Saccharomyces cerevisiae S288C: one gene and its partner. The protein of the gene in region 2 interacts with the protein of the main gene of each other region in a biochemical or structural test. Each region holds a gene or a part of one and is shown on either strand. Other genes may lie near its edges.

The links. The genes of interacting proteins can lie anywhere in the genome.
Region 1: the proteins of APL4 (region 2) and ENT3 form a complex in vitro, tested with the Saccharomyces cerevisiae proteins (2 studies listed by BioGRID).

What each region holds. Positions count from the first base shown.
Region 1 is NC_001142.9:652,045-657,848, reverse strand, and holds ENT3 (Ent3p), read left to right. Parts: upstream 1-1,885; coding exon 1,886-3,112; downstream 3,113-5,804. Other genes in the region: VPS70 (putative zinc metalloprotease), read left to right, coding at 1-1,595; YJR124C (uncharacterized protein), read left to right, coding at 3,611-4,957; 40S ribosomal protein uS7 RPS5, read right to left, coding at 5,271-5,804. UniProt on the Saccharomyces cerevisiae protein: Involved in the recruitment of clathrin to the Golgi network and endosomes to form clathrin coated vesicles. Plays a role in the trafficking of clathrin between the Golgi network and endosomes.
Region 2 is NC_001148.4:621,976-631,595, reverse strand, and holds APL4 (AP-1 complex subunit gamma), read left to right. Parts: upstream 1-4,628; coding exon 4,629-7,127; downstream 7,128-9,620. Other genes in the region: NTO1 (Nto1p), read right to left, coding at 1-81; CSR2 (Csr2p), read right to left, coding at 351-3,716; YOP1 (Yop1p), read right to left, coding at 7,394-7,885, 8,019-8,069. UniProt on the Saccharomyces cerevisiae protein: Adaptins are components of the adapter complexes which link clathrin to receptors in coated vesicles. Clathrin-associated protein complexes are believed to interact with the cytoplasmic tails of membrane proteins, leading to their selection and concentration.

The DNA of each region.
Region 1 (5,804 bases), on a different chromosome or scaffold from region 2:
TAAAGGTAAAGAATGCAGAACTTTATGGCGCTTCCAGTGTCATTATATATACAGACCCATTTGACGATGGTAAAGTTACTGAGGAAAATGGGTTTTTACACTATCCTTATGGACCAGCAAGAAACCCAAGTTATATTAGGAGAGATTCTGTAAACTATTTCAGTGACACTCCAGGAGATCCGACAACTCCAGGGTATCCCTCCAAGGATTCCGACACTGAACATATGTCACCGGTAGGGAGAGTGCCGAGGATACCATCGGTGCCGATGAGTGCTAGAGATGTCCAACCAATTTTAGAAAGATTGAATGGCAGGGGTTTTCAAATTGGGCCCGGTAGTAATATAAAAGATTTTGGATCATTCACTGGACCTTCAAGCTCTATCGATAAAGTCCATTTGCATAATGAGCTAACTTACAACATCAAGGAAATGAGTAGTGTAGAGGTTAGTATCCCTGGTATATTCACTGAGGGGGAGATTATTATCGGAGCTCATAGGGATTCGCTCGCCTCGAGTAGCGCCGGTGATGCAAATAGTGGCAGCGCTATTCTTTTAGAAATTGCACGAGGAATGAGTAAATTACTTAAGCATGGTTGGAAGCCACTGCGTCCTATCAAACTAATAAGTTGGGATGGTGAACGATCCGGCCTTCTGGGATCTACAGATTATGCAGAAGCTCATGCTGCGATTCTCAGGAGAAGGGCCTTGGTATACCTAAATCTAGATAATGCAATCTCTGGGACAAATTTTCACTGTAAAGCCAACCCACTTTTACAAGACGTGATATACGAAGCTGCTAAGCTCACGGAATTTAATGGGCACGAAGACTGGTCATTGTTCGACCATTGGAAATACACTTCTAATGCCACTATTTCTCTACTTGATGGGTTGTCTAGTTACACTTCATTTCAGTACCATCTTGGAGTGCCCGCTGCACATTTTCAGTTTAATGCCAATGATACTTCAGGCGCAGTCTATCATAGTAACTCCGTATTCGATAGCCCAACTTGGTTGGAAAAATTTACCAATTCTGACTACAAGTTACACAACACCATGGCCATGTTTGTAGGTTTGACAACGCTGATGCTGAGTGAAAACGAACTGGCAAGATTCAATACACATGTTTACCTGAAGAAAATATATAACTGGTATATCGCATGGCACTCTAATCTATCTTCAGCATTTCCCCAGGACGATGAAGTGAACAGCTTAGCAAAAAGGGTTCTGGACTTATTAAAAGTTGCCACACAGGAAGATAGCATCCAATTTGACCAACAAAATGGTATTCTCTATAAAGAGTGTAGGGAAGCTTTACCTGTTTGGGCTTTTTACAAAAAAATCAAGAGCTATATTAAACTGCAACGATCCAATAGCAAATCAAAGCAAATTGATCAATTATTTATTACACACAGAGGACTGAAAGACAGGGAATGGATGAAGTACTCTCTTTTAGCACCTAGTAAGTTTGAGGGATCTGTCGGGGAAGTTTTGCCCGGCCTTCACGAAGGATTGGCTGATATTGATAGAAACGAGGTCATTCAGTGGTTAACCATTTTGCTAAGCCAATTCAGCAACGTTCGCTATTTACTTCAATAAGCATTTAAGTACCTCACCTCAGTATATACATTTATTTTATTTGCATACGTAGAGTGACTTTGAATAATAACCATGAGAGGCTTTTTTGTATATACTCTATAAACATGGCTTCAATTTCTTATACATGTCACACCGTACGTTGTGCGAGGTGATTAGGAAAAGTAAAAGGGGACTAGAAGAATCATGAAATGATTTGTAGATACAGTTATTTGAGGAAAGCAAAAATTACCAATTCAGGAAGGTGTAGGGACGTCGATAGGAGATCACATCGTTAATTAGTGTTAGGAAGAATGAGTTTAGAGGATACATTAGCCAACATGTCATTATATGACGCCAAGAAATATTTTCGTAAAGCTCAAAATGTTGTTTTCAATTATACTGAGATGGAGGGGAAAGTTCGTGAAGCGACAAACAACGAGCCTTGGGGTGCCTCATCCACTTTAATGGACCAGATTTCTCAAGGAACTTACAATTTCAGGGAAAGAGAAGAAATTTTGTCCATGATATTCAGAAGGTTCACTGAAAAGGCAGGTAGTGAGTGGAGGCAAATTTATAAAGCCTTGCAATTGCTCGATTACCTTATCAAACACGGTTCTGAAAGGTTTATCGATGATACAAGGAATAGCATTAACTTAATTAGGATTTTAGAAACTTTTCACTATATTGATTCCCAGGGAAGAGATCAAGGAATTAATGTCAGAACTAGGGTCAAAGCTTTGATTGAATTATTGAGCGACGATAATAAGATACGCGCAGAAAGAAAAAAGGCAAGAGAAACGGCAAAGAAGTACAAGGGCGTTGCTGGAGGATCTGCCTCTGCTGATGGCAGTTTGAATTCGAAGGCAGGTTTCACGTCAACGAAAGTGCACGGCATTAGCGTGAGTGCTGATTTCGATAGTGACAATGAAGATAACGAAGATGGTTCTTTTAGTCAAAATGGATATAACGATAATGCCTCGAGAGCCACATCTACTCCTGGGCAAGGAAAACAAGAACCAGAGGACTTTGTTGACTTTTTTTCTAGTGAGTCTTCAAAACCATCTAAAGAACTCATACAAGAAGATGAAAAGAAGGCGGACGAAGAAGAGGACGATGATGACGAGTTTTCAGAATTTCAAAGCGCCGTCCCTGTTACCAACCCTGCTAATTCGTTTAACTTGCTAAACACGAGCCCAATTGAGGGTATGCCCGCCACCACGAGTTCAATGCCTTTTTATAACAGCTCCACTACCGACCAAGGCAAGATTACCCCAGCTATTGCGGAACCTAAAAAAGTAGATCCTTTTAGCTCTCTCTTTTCAACTGCAAAGGCATCTGCAGAAGCACCTAGTGCTCCTAAAGCATCCCAAGCGAAAGCCGCTGCCTCTAATCCTGTATCTAATAGCACAACTGCACTAAGTACAGATCAAGATGATGATGACGAATTTGGTGAAATGCATGGTGGAGCTGTTCAACAAGAACAGAATACCAATAATAACCATACATCATCCAAAGAAATCGATTTACTTTCCTTTTGAGTGATATTATTGGTTTACACAATATGTAAATGTTTTATAACAATAGAAAGTACTTTGTAACAGGTATTACGAACATTACTATCTAATCTCCACTGTATTTCTCCTTTATATGTTTGTCTTGATTTCGTGAAATAGTTTGTGAACATTTTTTTGATCTTTTTTTCGTAAAGAAGGGCCCTTTTCAAATTTATTTACATTTTGGTCATTTGAAAATACTTTACTTAAAAAGACGAGGAAGAAACTGTAAATCCATAGTTCGAGAGTTGAAGTGCCCTTCAAAACAAAAACTCCTGACTTTTTTTGCTCATTTTTAGTCAATGAACTAAAACTCACCTTCCTTCTCGTTTATTTTTGCCTAGCATTATAGAGCAATTATAACTATATATTAAAGTTGACGCACCGAAAAAAAAGGCACGAAAGAAAACTCTACTAATTTTTCACATCTCGAAAAAGCTCATTGCAGAAGGATTTACCAATATTTCTAAAGTTAACGTAACCATGGCACCGGAAATTTTTGTTAAATTCAAGTGTGCAAGTAGAGACATAAAGCTACTATGGGCGTCCGTCTTTCTTAGACTTCTATCATATGGTTTAACAAATCAAGTTTTGACGCTTTTTTTAAATGCCATCAATATGACAGAGGATAAAATTGGGCTGTTTATGTCATTAACACTGGCAGGGGATGTAATTTGCTCTTACATTCTTACTTGGTATGCGGATTCCTGGGGCCGAAGAAGAGTCCTAGTTTATGGTTGTGCAATGATGTTGTTAAGTGGGTTGGTTTTCAGTTTTAGCGAAAATTTCACCCTCTTGCTAGTATTTGCTATCTTCGGTGTTATATCGCCTTCAAGTGATGAAGTCGGGCCTTTCAAATCTATAGAAGAGGCCATGATTGCACATCTGAGTCCTCATAATGCAAGACCAGAGATTTATGCTATTCACGCCTTGGTTGGAACAATTGGAAGCGCTCTAGGTGCAATAATTTGTGGTATATTTGTAGATCTTTTGAAAAGAACTGGTTTAGCTGCTACTGATTTGCAATGTTATAAATTAGTTTTCTTACTGTATGCCTTCTTCGCCTTTTGCAAAATGGTCATCATGCTCTTATTATCAGATGCTACAGAATTGGACGGGCATTATGAACATACAGATTGCAATGAAGAAACAGCTGAACCATTGGACGTTAACGATGAAACTGCACCATTAATGAGACAAGCAACTCACCCAGAAGAAAGATCCAACAAACTATCTAAGGAGACCGTTTCGGTTTTGATGAAATTGTTAGTAATCTTCATGGTCGACTCTCTCGGGTCCGGGTTTATGACAAGTGGCTGGATGGTTTACTACTATAGTAAGCAATTTTTGATGGGATCTCTGGCGTTGGGTACTTTATTTTTCATCACGCAACTGGTTATGGCATCTTCCACCATCCCATCATCAATAATTGCCAGATGTTTTGGCCCAGTAAGAGCCACACTATTGGTCCAAATTCCATCAGGGATATTTTCTATTCTCATCCCTATGGCCAAGAATTACTTGCCCTTATCTATTTTGTTTTTGAATCTGCATTTTGCAACAACTGCCATGGACGTTACACCAAGGCAAATTCTATTAACAAATATCATCAAACCAAGAGATTTAACCAAAGTTATGGGGGTGGTCAACATTGGAAAGACATTTGCTCGGTGTGTTGGTCCAATATTCACGGGTATACTTGCTAACAATAATTATTTATGGCTATGTTACATCATTAGTGGGTCCTTGGTGATAACGGCGGATCTAATACTGGCATGCATGTTTTTAGGAGTGGACGCTAAAATTAAAAAGCAAATGAACCGCCATTAATGCAGCAGCAAATGTAGAGTGACTTAGAAACATGTGTAGATCATTTCAAGGAAACGTTACGTTTAGAGACAATGTAAATAGTACCCAGTTAAAGTATCTGACACACGAGGAAGTACAACCAATAGCATTTATATTTACTTGATAGATTTGCGTAAGATATATTATTTAAAAATTGATAGTCCTATTTTTTTTTACATCAAAAGATAAGATTGTATTATGTTATAAATTTAAACAATAGAGTGTACAAAGAAGATAAAAGTAATAATAAGAAAAACATATGTAATATTGAAAATCTTTCACTTTTTTTAGCTTCTTAACGGTTAGACTTGGCAACACGTTCCAATTCATCCTTCTTCTTGATAGCGTAAGAAGTAGAGGAACCCTTAGCAGCATTGATCAATTCTTCGGCCAAAGTTTCAGCAATGGTCTTGATGTTTCTGAAAGCAGCTTCTCTGGCACCAATGGTCAACAAAGCAATAGCTTGGTTAACTCTTCTCAATGGAGAAACATCGACAGCTTGACGTCTAGCAGCACCACCACCACCGACTCTGGTGGTGTCTTCTCTTGGACCAGTGTTGGTGATAGCGTCAACAACAACTTGGATTGGGTTTTGGTCAGTCAAGACATTGATGATGTCCAAAGTGTGCTTGATGATTCTAACAGCCTTTAATTTCTTACCGTTGTTTCTACCGTTCATCATCAAGGAGTTGGTCAATCTTTCAATGATTGGACATTGAGCCTTTCTGAATCTCTTGTTGGCGTAACGACCAGCGGTGTGAGCAACAAAGATTGGTTGTCTAACTTGAACGTAGTCAACCAAAGAAGCATCCTTAACTTCAACTTCTTC
Region 2 (9,620 bases):
GGCATTAAGATCAGGATAAAAATCTTGGAAGTGCTTTTCTTCACGTAGTTTAGGCCCATCATCTAATGATCCCCTATTCATTAGGTGCTAAGTCGTACAACGCCCTTGTCAAAGTTATTTGAATAAAAAAACCTAATACGTTGAAAAACTGCACGGCTTTCAAACTTTCAAACTTGTTTATTATTATCGTCTTCCATTTTTTTCGGTGCTACAATTTGCGATGAGCCGAAAGACATATATTCTACGTATATTACACGAAAAAAAAAGTTAGTTCGGACAGGTACATATTTGTACAAATGTATATATATATGTGTGTGTGAGGTTTATAAAAAAAGTGAAGATATTAATATTTATGATGAAATCTCGTCATATCTTGGTGGTTCAGGACCCGGATGAATTATTGGACCAGGCCCCTCTGTATCATTATCATTATTATCATTATCATTATAATTGTAGTCGGTATTGGTAAAAGTGCGCGGACTATACCGTGGTGTGAATATATTATTGTTAAAGTTCATTGTGACAATGTCTCTTTTAAATAGCGTGGCCGCGGTCTCCTGTTCAAAGATATCCTGCGAAAGCAAACCGTCCATATTGCTATAGGCGTTATTTTCATTCCCCATTTGTAGCGCATAATCTTCAGTCCTCAAGGGGCGTGCTTGTTGCTCTTGCTGGTCCCGGATTGGGGCACCGTTAGACGAGTCCGAAACAGCGGTTGTTTTTGGATGTAAGGTTGACAGGTAACCATTTGCGAGGGAAGTCGACCTAGACAAATTCAACTGTTGCATGGAAATGTCATCGGGATAATAAGATACAGAAGATCTTGGTGATGCTGAAACTGATGTTGCCTCTTCAAAAGTTGGTGGCAGGACTTTAGAAGATTCAGTGGTGGCCATGTCATAAGTCGGTAAGTCTATATTTGAAGTGTTACAAAGGTCAGAAATCAAATAAATTGGTGTATCAACAATTACTTCATAATGCCTTATGATTTTTGAGCTACCACTATCAGTTTTGCTAACCCTCAAGACGATTTCTAATTTATGAGAACATTGGATATTCTTAAAATGCATACTGTCCAAATATAAACCGCGTCTTGGTTTATTCAACCGTGTGTAGTGCTGAATGGGAACATTCGAGCTAGTTTGCAAAGATGTATTCGAGTTTCCATTTGTATCATTGACCTCATTATGATTCTTGTCTTGCGGTATTTTATGAACTGTCTTGGAAGCCCTGTTAGGGCGACCCACTAGAAAGCCCAATACATTGCCGTTATTAGAGGTGTTCTCACTCTGAGTTGGATCTTTTATTGGGTCGAAAAGATCGATACCATATGGTGGTAGACTTGCAGCTTTGGTAGCGTCCACTTCACAATATTTTGGAAATTTTAACTTCGTTTTAACAGTAAAGGACTCAGAAAATGGGATATCTTTGTTGTTTTCTTTTGATGAAGTGTAGGCTAATAAGTTATCATCAACTGTATTGGTGACAACTTCCTCTCTAATAGAAGGCCCACTAGTACATTTAGAGGCCACCTCAAATAGAGGCAAGCTTCTGTCCTTCTTTTTTCTCACTAAATATCTCATATGATAGGGATTGCAAGGATCTGAAGCCAATGGATCCAACTGGTCAAAATCATATTGATAGTCTTTACTCCTGTAGGAGATTTTTTCTCTACAACTAACACGAATTCTCTTGACACTAAGACTTTTTACTAGAGGTGCCACTTTAATTGTGATTGGAATTTCACCATTCAAGGGCACATACTTTTGGGCGAATGAAATTTCATAAGAAAGACAATTCTCCCAAACCTTGTTAATGTAAAGTGGCTTATTTGCTGTAGTGACAGAGATTTCTGGCGGAGTTCTCACCAAATTAAGCGGGTACTGTAAATTTATAGTGTCTTCAGAATCATGTTGCATCGCTAAACCACTAGAAGATGCGCCATTATTATCTGACCTTCCGTTAGAATTATTCCTTTTTAAGCGCCCCTTCGCACTTTTTAACCATGAGGAGGGAAATGCGATTTTTCCAGTAGAATTTTTGTCGTTATTGTAGGTTTCTCCTTCTATGGTGTCATCAATTTGAGAATATTCATAAGAATCAGAACAGGAATATGAACGCAGTTTTTGAGGAGAAGAGATAGAAGAAGAACGTGGCCGTGATGCAACCAACTGTGTATGTTCATCCTTCAATTTTGTCGCTAATCTTAAGCTGTAGGATACCCTCGCTGATGGGTAGTAAAGCGATTCAGGAATACGACTGGCAAGCACTATGGGGATAGTAAAGACATAAACACCAGCATTTAACTTGTTCGTAGAATTCGAGGCATTTAAATTGTTTAATATATTTTCCCTAAGAACTGCTTTATTCGAGAAAGAACGGCGTTTCCTCATCGATAATTTCTGGAGCACTTTCAATTTCCTGTTATTGGAATGATTTTCAACGATATCAAGAGGAGACTTTGCGCCTTGCGGAATGAAAAGATTAAAGTTGTCTGCATTTAAGGTCCAGTCCAAAGAACCTATATTATAGCATTCCTCGTTAACATTCTTGGTAGGGGGAAGACCATTGAACCACACCACTCTCACGTTAGAAGTGAGTTCTACTTTAATATCAGAAAGGGTAGTTGATTTATTCAGGGAAAATATCAATGCAAAGCTGAATGAAGGCATTTGGCTATTCCAAGCATTAGGAAGAGAACGCGAGTGAGAATTAGGATGTCTGTTTCTCGCGGGAGAATTGTTATTATTCATAGGGTTGTTATTGCCACTCGCAACAAAGGAATCCGCATCTGTTGTGTTATTGTTCGAGGCCGGAGAAGCACGATCAGAATTGCTTGTATCCATAGCATTACCTGTCCTTGCTGTATTAGAGGGGCTGGTTCGCTGTGTATGTAACGGAAATAGTGATAAATCATTGTTTTCATTCAAAGTGTCCATCGTAGGACATGAAGGGAGGAAATCACTTTCTGCAGTGTTAGTGGACCCGACAGGCTGTGTTCGCGCCTGATTTAAAGAACCATGAATCAGTGATAGATACTCTGTTTCATCACTTTTTGTAGTTGGCAAGAAAACTGATTCTGCACTTGTTGCAATGGAAATTTCCAGCACACTTTTCTTATTATATAACGGTGTTTGCTTGATGAAACCACGATCCGCTAAATAGTCCGATAGCACCCTATTAATAAACATAGTGCTATTACTAGCATGATGTGTTATGAATGACCTAACAATATCATTATTACTAGATATTTGTTTTGCCGCGACTGGATCTGACTCTCTCCTCAACCCGGTGTCTTGCCTTGTGTGTAACTGGTCTATGGTGGTATACGGAACAGAATTCCTGTGCCTATCCGGTTGGTAAGATCCCGTAATATTGTAAGCCTTAGTGCCAACATCTGAAGGAAAACTGTTCCCCCTACACATGGCAGTTGATGCGGTAGAATAGTTACGGTTCATCAAATTGGAATAATCGTCCATACTAGATGTTGGACTATTACCAGTTCCAAAAAAAGAAGAAAGGGCGTCCCTAACACTAGATGACCTCCTTCTACCACTAAATCCTGACGATTTTTGTGGCGAGAGGGAGGTAGAAATCATCTCTCTGTTACGGGCTAGCCTTTGCAATATATCACCCTCGTCGCCTGCAGAAACGTTCTGGACGACATCTCTCTTGTTGCCGTTGCTCGCAATTGCTATTGGGACAGTAGATTGCATGATTGACTTTGCTTACTAGTCTGACTGATTACCCTTGGAGAGCCATCATAATAAATAAAACAGAGAAACGACGATATATATAGTCCAAACCGTGACAACTATGCAGGGAACGGGAGACGGGATTCAATAAGCCGGGGGTCTTTTCCATGTGATACCGAGTAAGGCATAGCCATCATTTGGCAGATCTACAAAATAAAGAAGCCCAGGGTTTGGCCGTGCAGAATCGCTGCGCCAACCCCGGATTTTGCATTTCTTATTCCACTAGGGCTGGTCGTGGGGTACGTGGGGAGCGGTATCCCTTAAAATGAAAAAAAAGAAACTATACCACCCACGCATCCAAACGACCGGGCGAGCGGGTAATAGATGGTTCTATTCTTTAGCCGCCGAAGCTTTCTTCTCTATATACATGTAAATGTATATAATTCCGGAAGTGTGGTCCTGCTACGAACAACACAAACCGATTAATTGATAATGGAAAGAGGAATGAGGTTGGGACAAGTAATACCAACTGGGGCTACAGGAAGGTGGTGAAAGAGGGTATCACATATAAGAACAAACCGTTTATTCGATTATTTAAATCTATTTTAGGCCACGAAGGTAGAGAGGTTGCGAGTGAAAACAACTAACTTTCTTTACGATATTTCTCAATTGGAACTGACAGCGTTAAAGTCCATATTTTGCTACTGATTGCTTTTCTTTGGTGTTATCTACCTTAAGAGAAAAAAAATTCAAATGAAGATTACCCGACTCTGAGTTTTGACGTCCTTAGCTGTTTGTATTCACTGAATTTAGTGGGCTTGGCCATATGAGAATTACAACTAAATCATACTTTTTCGAGATTTTATACTGCTAATATTGGAGAAGAAATATTGACCATCTTGATTTAGCAACGAGAAAGACCTGAACACCATAATGGGCTCTTCGTTGAGAAGCTTTATCAAAGACGTTCGTGGTGCCAAAACACTGGCAGATGAAAGGGCAATTATAACGAAACAATCTGCTAAAATTAGGACAAAATTGAGAGATGACCATCTACCACATGAAAAAAGGCGAGTAAATATCCAGAAACTTCTGTATCTATACATTCTAGGGGAAAAGACACATTTCGGTCAGGTGGAGTCTATCAATTTAATTGCTTCTGACGATTTTGTCGATAAAAGATTAGGCTATCTGGCCGCAACTTTATTGTTGGACGAATCTGAAGATTTATTGACACTCTTAACGAACATGTTGAACAACGATTTGCATCATCCCAACAAATATGCAGTGTCACTTGCACTAACCTCATTAGGCTTTTTGAGCTCCCCTGAATTAGCCAGAGATTTATACCCAGACGTCGAAAATATCATCAAAAATTCAAGAGACCCTTTCCTCTTGAAAAAAGCGCTTCAATGTGCTGCCAAACTAATTTTCAAAGACGTTTCACTTTTAGAAATCTTCAACATCGAAGACATTACTAAGATATTGTCTAGTCATTCAATATGTACTCACGGTGTACTTTTAGGCGTTACGAAAATCATACAATCTATTTTGTTAATTGGATTGAACAGAAAAAAAGATGAGGATGAAGATGAAGACGGTATTGATTACAGCAATGACATCTTGTCTCCATTATCTTTACTTTTGCGTGATTTTTTCATTCGTTTGGAAAATATGAATTCTAAAAATATTGAACCTGGATATGATGTCCAAGGTATTTGTGACCCATTTCTGCAGTGTGAAATAATTTACACTTTAAAACTATACTTTCAAGTTGGTGAGCTCTTAAATTCGAACAATGTTTTGGACTACAAAGATAATTTCTGCGATTTATTGACTCGTATTGCGACGAATACGGATTCAACGAAAAACAGCGGACAGGCCATTCTTTATGAGACCGTGAAGACGATCTTTTCGTTGGATTTGAACCAGCCTCTACGTGTCCTTGGTATTAACATCTTGGCCAAGTTTCTTGCAGGAAAAGATAATAATACTAAATACGTTTCATTAAACACCTTATTAAAAGTTGTTCCCCAAGAGCCTACCGCAGTACAAAGGCATAGAAAATTCATTTCTCATTGTCTGCAGGATACCGATGTGTCGATCCGCATGAGAGCGTTAGAGTTGAGCTTCGCCATCTTGGACGATTCAAATTTAGTGGAATTGGTTAACGAATTGATGAAATTTTTGGCAAAACAGGATGAAGATTCAAAAGATCTCATAATATACACTATAGATCACTTAATTGACACTTTTGATACCCGCGTTGTCAAAGATGAAAGCTGGAAATTAGATGTTTTCTTTAATATCTTAAAATTAGTGGGATCGTTTATCAACTATGAAAAAATTAATGATATTCTAATCATAATAAATAATACGAGCCAGTTATCCGACAAATCTGAATTTTTACGGAAAATGCTGACAATTTCACTAAATGGAACATCAGCGGAGATTTCCGAGGAAAATATTGGTTGGCAGTTGGTTTTGATTTGGTGCATTGGCGAATATGGCGATTTAGTACTCAACGAGGGCAATAAAAATGGTGCAGACATAATCAATGAGTCATCTATTACTGATTACTTACTAACTTTGCAAGAACTCTACACAGCAACGAATCTGAAGATAATCAATTACATTTTAACAGCAGCATTAAAATTATCTGTGAGGTTCCATGACGCGAAAAATATTGAAAAACTAAGACAACTGATATTGAGCTACACGGATTCCACTGATTTATCACTGCAAATGAAAAGCAATCAATACGAGATATTTTTCAATCAGTCAATTTCTGTGAAGAAGATCATTTTAGAAACAATGCCTAAATTTGAAAAAATTACCGAGGAACAGGATAATGGAAAAGCTCTATCGAAAAACCTTATCTCCAACGAACCAGTTGATCTGCTGTCAGATTTATTGGGTGAGGATAGCAAGGCTGAAAGCAAGGCTTCTACTGGTGACAATGTGAAACCAATTGACATATTAGAAGAGATTTTTGGAGAGAAGAATGACATTGCTCAGGTGCCCAAAAATGCGAACAAGGAAGAATCAATCAATCATTCGTCGGCAGTGGAGGCAAACTCAGGTGTCACCTTACCATTGGATGCCAACAAGATATATGACAGTTCCTCACTGAATGTATATGCTTCCTTGCTCTCTGCAAACTCTGGATTAGCACATTTGGATTTATATTTTCAGGCAAAGTCTTTAATATCTGACTTAAAAACTTTCTGTGCCGTTCCTAAAGCTCAAAAGCTAACACTAGGCCAGTTATATCCATCTTCCACAATAAACGCCAGCCAAATTTGCAAGCAGTCATTGAAAATTTCTGGATCTGGGAAACTGAAGTTAAGAGTTAAGTTGGATTTTCATTTAAATGGCTCTTCATCTATCACCAATGAACAGTTCGATCACAAATTCGATGAAACTCTATAAAAAATGCCTTTAAAATTACAGAACATAACATGATTAATGACCTTGCGTTGGATGGTCTGTCGCGCATATCAAGAGACACGTCACGACACAACACGATGAATAGAAATGCTATCTTCTGGGACACCATAAACGACTCCAAAATATTTTATATGTTAAGTAGCGATATATAACAACTAATAACATATGTACTTATATGCTCTCAATAGAATAGATAACAAAGAGAACAAAAACGAGAGTTTGATTTGAGGATATAGGTGAGTTGCCTCTTAATGAACAGAAGCACCTGTAGCCTTAGAAGCCTCATTGACGGAAGCTCTAATTTCATCCTTTTCTGTCTTGCTAACATCTCTTAGGATATATCTGTCGGTCAATGGGGCTACGATCTTTTGATAGATCATTCTAGCGCCACCAGTTTGAGGCAAGGCAATGTAGATTAAGAAAACGGTTTTCAAAAACCAGTAGAATGGAATCAAATATAGAATTGCCTTGGACCAGAATTCAATGACACTCAAAAATGAAAAGACAATCCAGTAGGTCAAGAGTTGTGTGTCATCGGTGGACGTTGGTGTCTTCAAAGCAACCAACGATAAATATGCTGGCAACACAAACCCAGCAAAATTGGAAAGAATTTCACCTACACCTCCGACGTTAATAAAAATCAAAAGGAGATAAGCGAAACCTAAACCAGCAACTAAATAAGATTTAGGCAAATTAGTTTTATTTTCTAATTGCTGTAAAATTCTATTACCAGAGTACTTCTGTAGAAAAAAATGTAGCAAGGAGGGTGAAAATTAGCTTTCTTGTTAGTATAACTGCTTCGGTTACGTGTGTCGGGTCATTTGGCTGTTTGAACCATGATGACGATGGAACCAATAAAACCATCTTACATACGGTATCGAATTGTTTCATTTGAGAGTGAATACTAGATGCATATTCGGACATGATTGGAGTGCGGTTATGTCTTTGTTTATTTGTTTTCACTACCAATTGCAATTTTAGATTCTTTCTTTCGGAATAACAAGCTTCAAGGGAATGTTTTTTAGTTTTAAATCAAAAAAAATTTTGAAGGACATATTTTTTTTTTTTTCGTTCAACCTTGAAAGGGGTTACGCATACTCCCTTTGACGTGGACAAGAAGAGAGAATAACGGCGCTAAGAAAGCGAACCACGAAAATTCGAGAATGGTGATAAAAAAATAAAGGTTAGAATGCCACACAGCCTTCCAAAGAGTGAATGAAAATCTTTTGACTTGATGTAGTTTTTTTTTTTTCAGGAGGAAGTTTAATCCGGATTGTGATTAAATCAGTACTGCCCCTCCAGCAGCCATATAACCTACTTACTGCGTAACTAGTAATTGCGCTCACCCATCCTATCTATGCAACTCTTCTGAAGGTCTTCTCAAGCACTTAATTTTTGTTTTTCAGGAGATTGACAGGGTTTGTCGCTTGTCTTGGCACTCATTCCAGCACTGATTGGGCAGCTAGTTTGAAGAGTTGCACCAATAAATTAGAACCTCATTAAAGTCATGAATGGACGAGCAAGTAGCAAGTCTTATAAATACTTGAAAACGTGCATGTGATGATGGCATCGCTCCCTGTTGAATTTCTTTTTTTCCGTTGGAAGGTGCACTTGTTGAGCGCATTAAAGTTTTATAAAGCATAGTATTCAGGCTCAAAATAAAAGGGGACAAAACAAAACGTGCCGGTGAAACATATATGTCTTGAGAAAATTATTATAATGTTGTCTTCGTCTCTTACTTTTAGAATGTACTCTTTAAAAGTTAGACGCTTGGACCATTTATAAAGCACAAGAATGCTTGTTTATTTCATTCTGATATGCGGATTTAGCTCAGTTGGGAGAGCGCCAGACTGAAGAAAAAACTTCGGTCAAGTTATCTGGAGGTCCTGTGTTCGATCCACAGAATTCGCATTTATTTTTTCGACCTGCCAACTGCGGAAAGTTGGTTCTTGAACTTGACTGCTCCTTCTCTTATGGAAATATCAATGAAAATATAGACTCAAGTAGGAAGATGAAGGAGTTTTTCAACTTGAATGTCTGACTTTTTTTCAAAATTTTCTTACGCCATTGGCCATCTTTTAATGTCTCCAACAAAAAACCAATAACGGATAATCAATATAAGCGTTGGAAAAGAATTTATCACGGCCAAAATTGTTCCCGTTAAAAGTTCGAAGTTTTAGGGACATAAATTTGTCTAAAACTCATGGAAGCACACTTTGCTTCCATTACGTATTGTATAATATTTCCTACTATATCGTGGACTGATACTTTCTTGAGATATCTACATACTTTCTCCGTCAGAGTCAGTCATCCCACCTCAGAGTTTACTAAAAGAGGTCAAAAAGAGGGAAGCAGACAGACTAAGGTAGATGTCCAAAGTTGACAAATAAATATCTGGCTCCACAGTTTTTCAAAATCTCTTGATGATCCCTTGCATTTAAAGGACCGTTATTTGCCGACTACGGACAGAGAAGT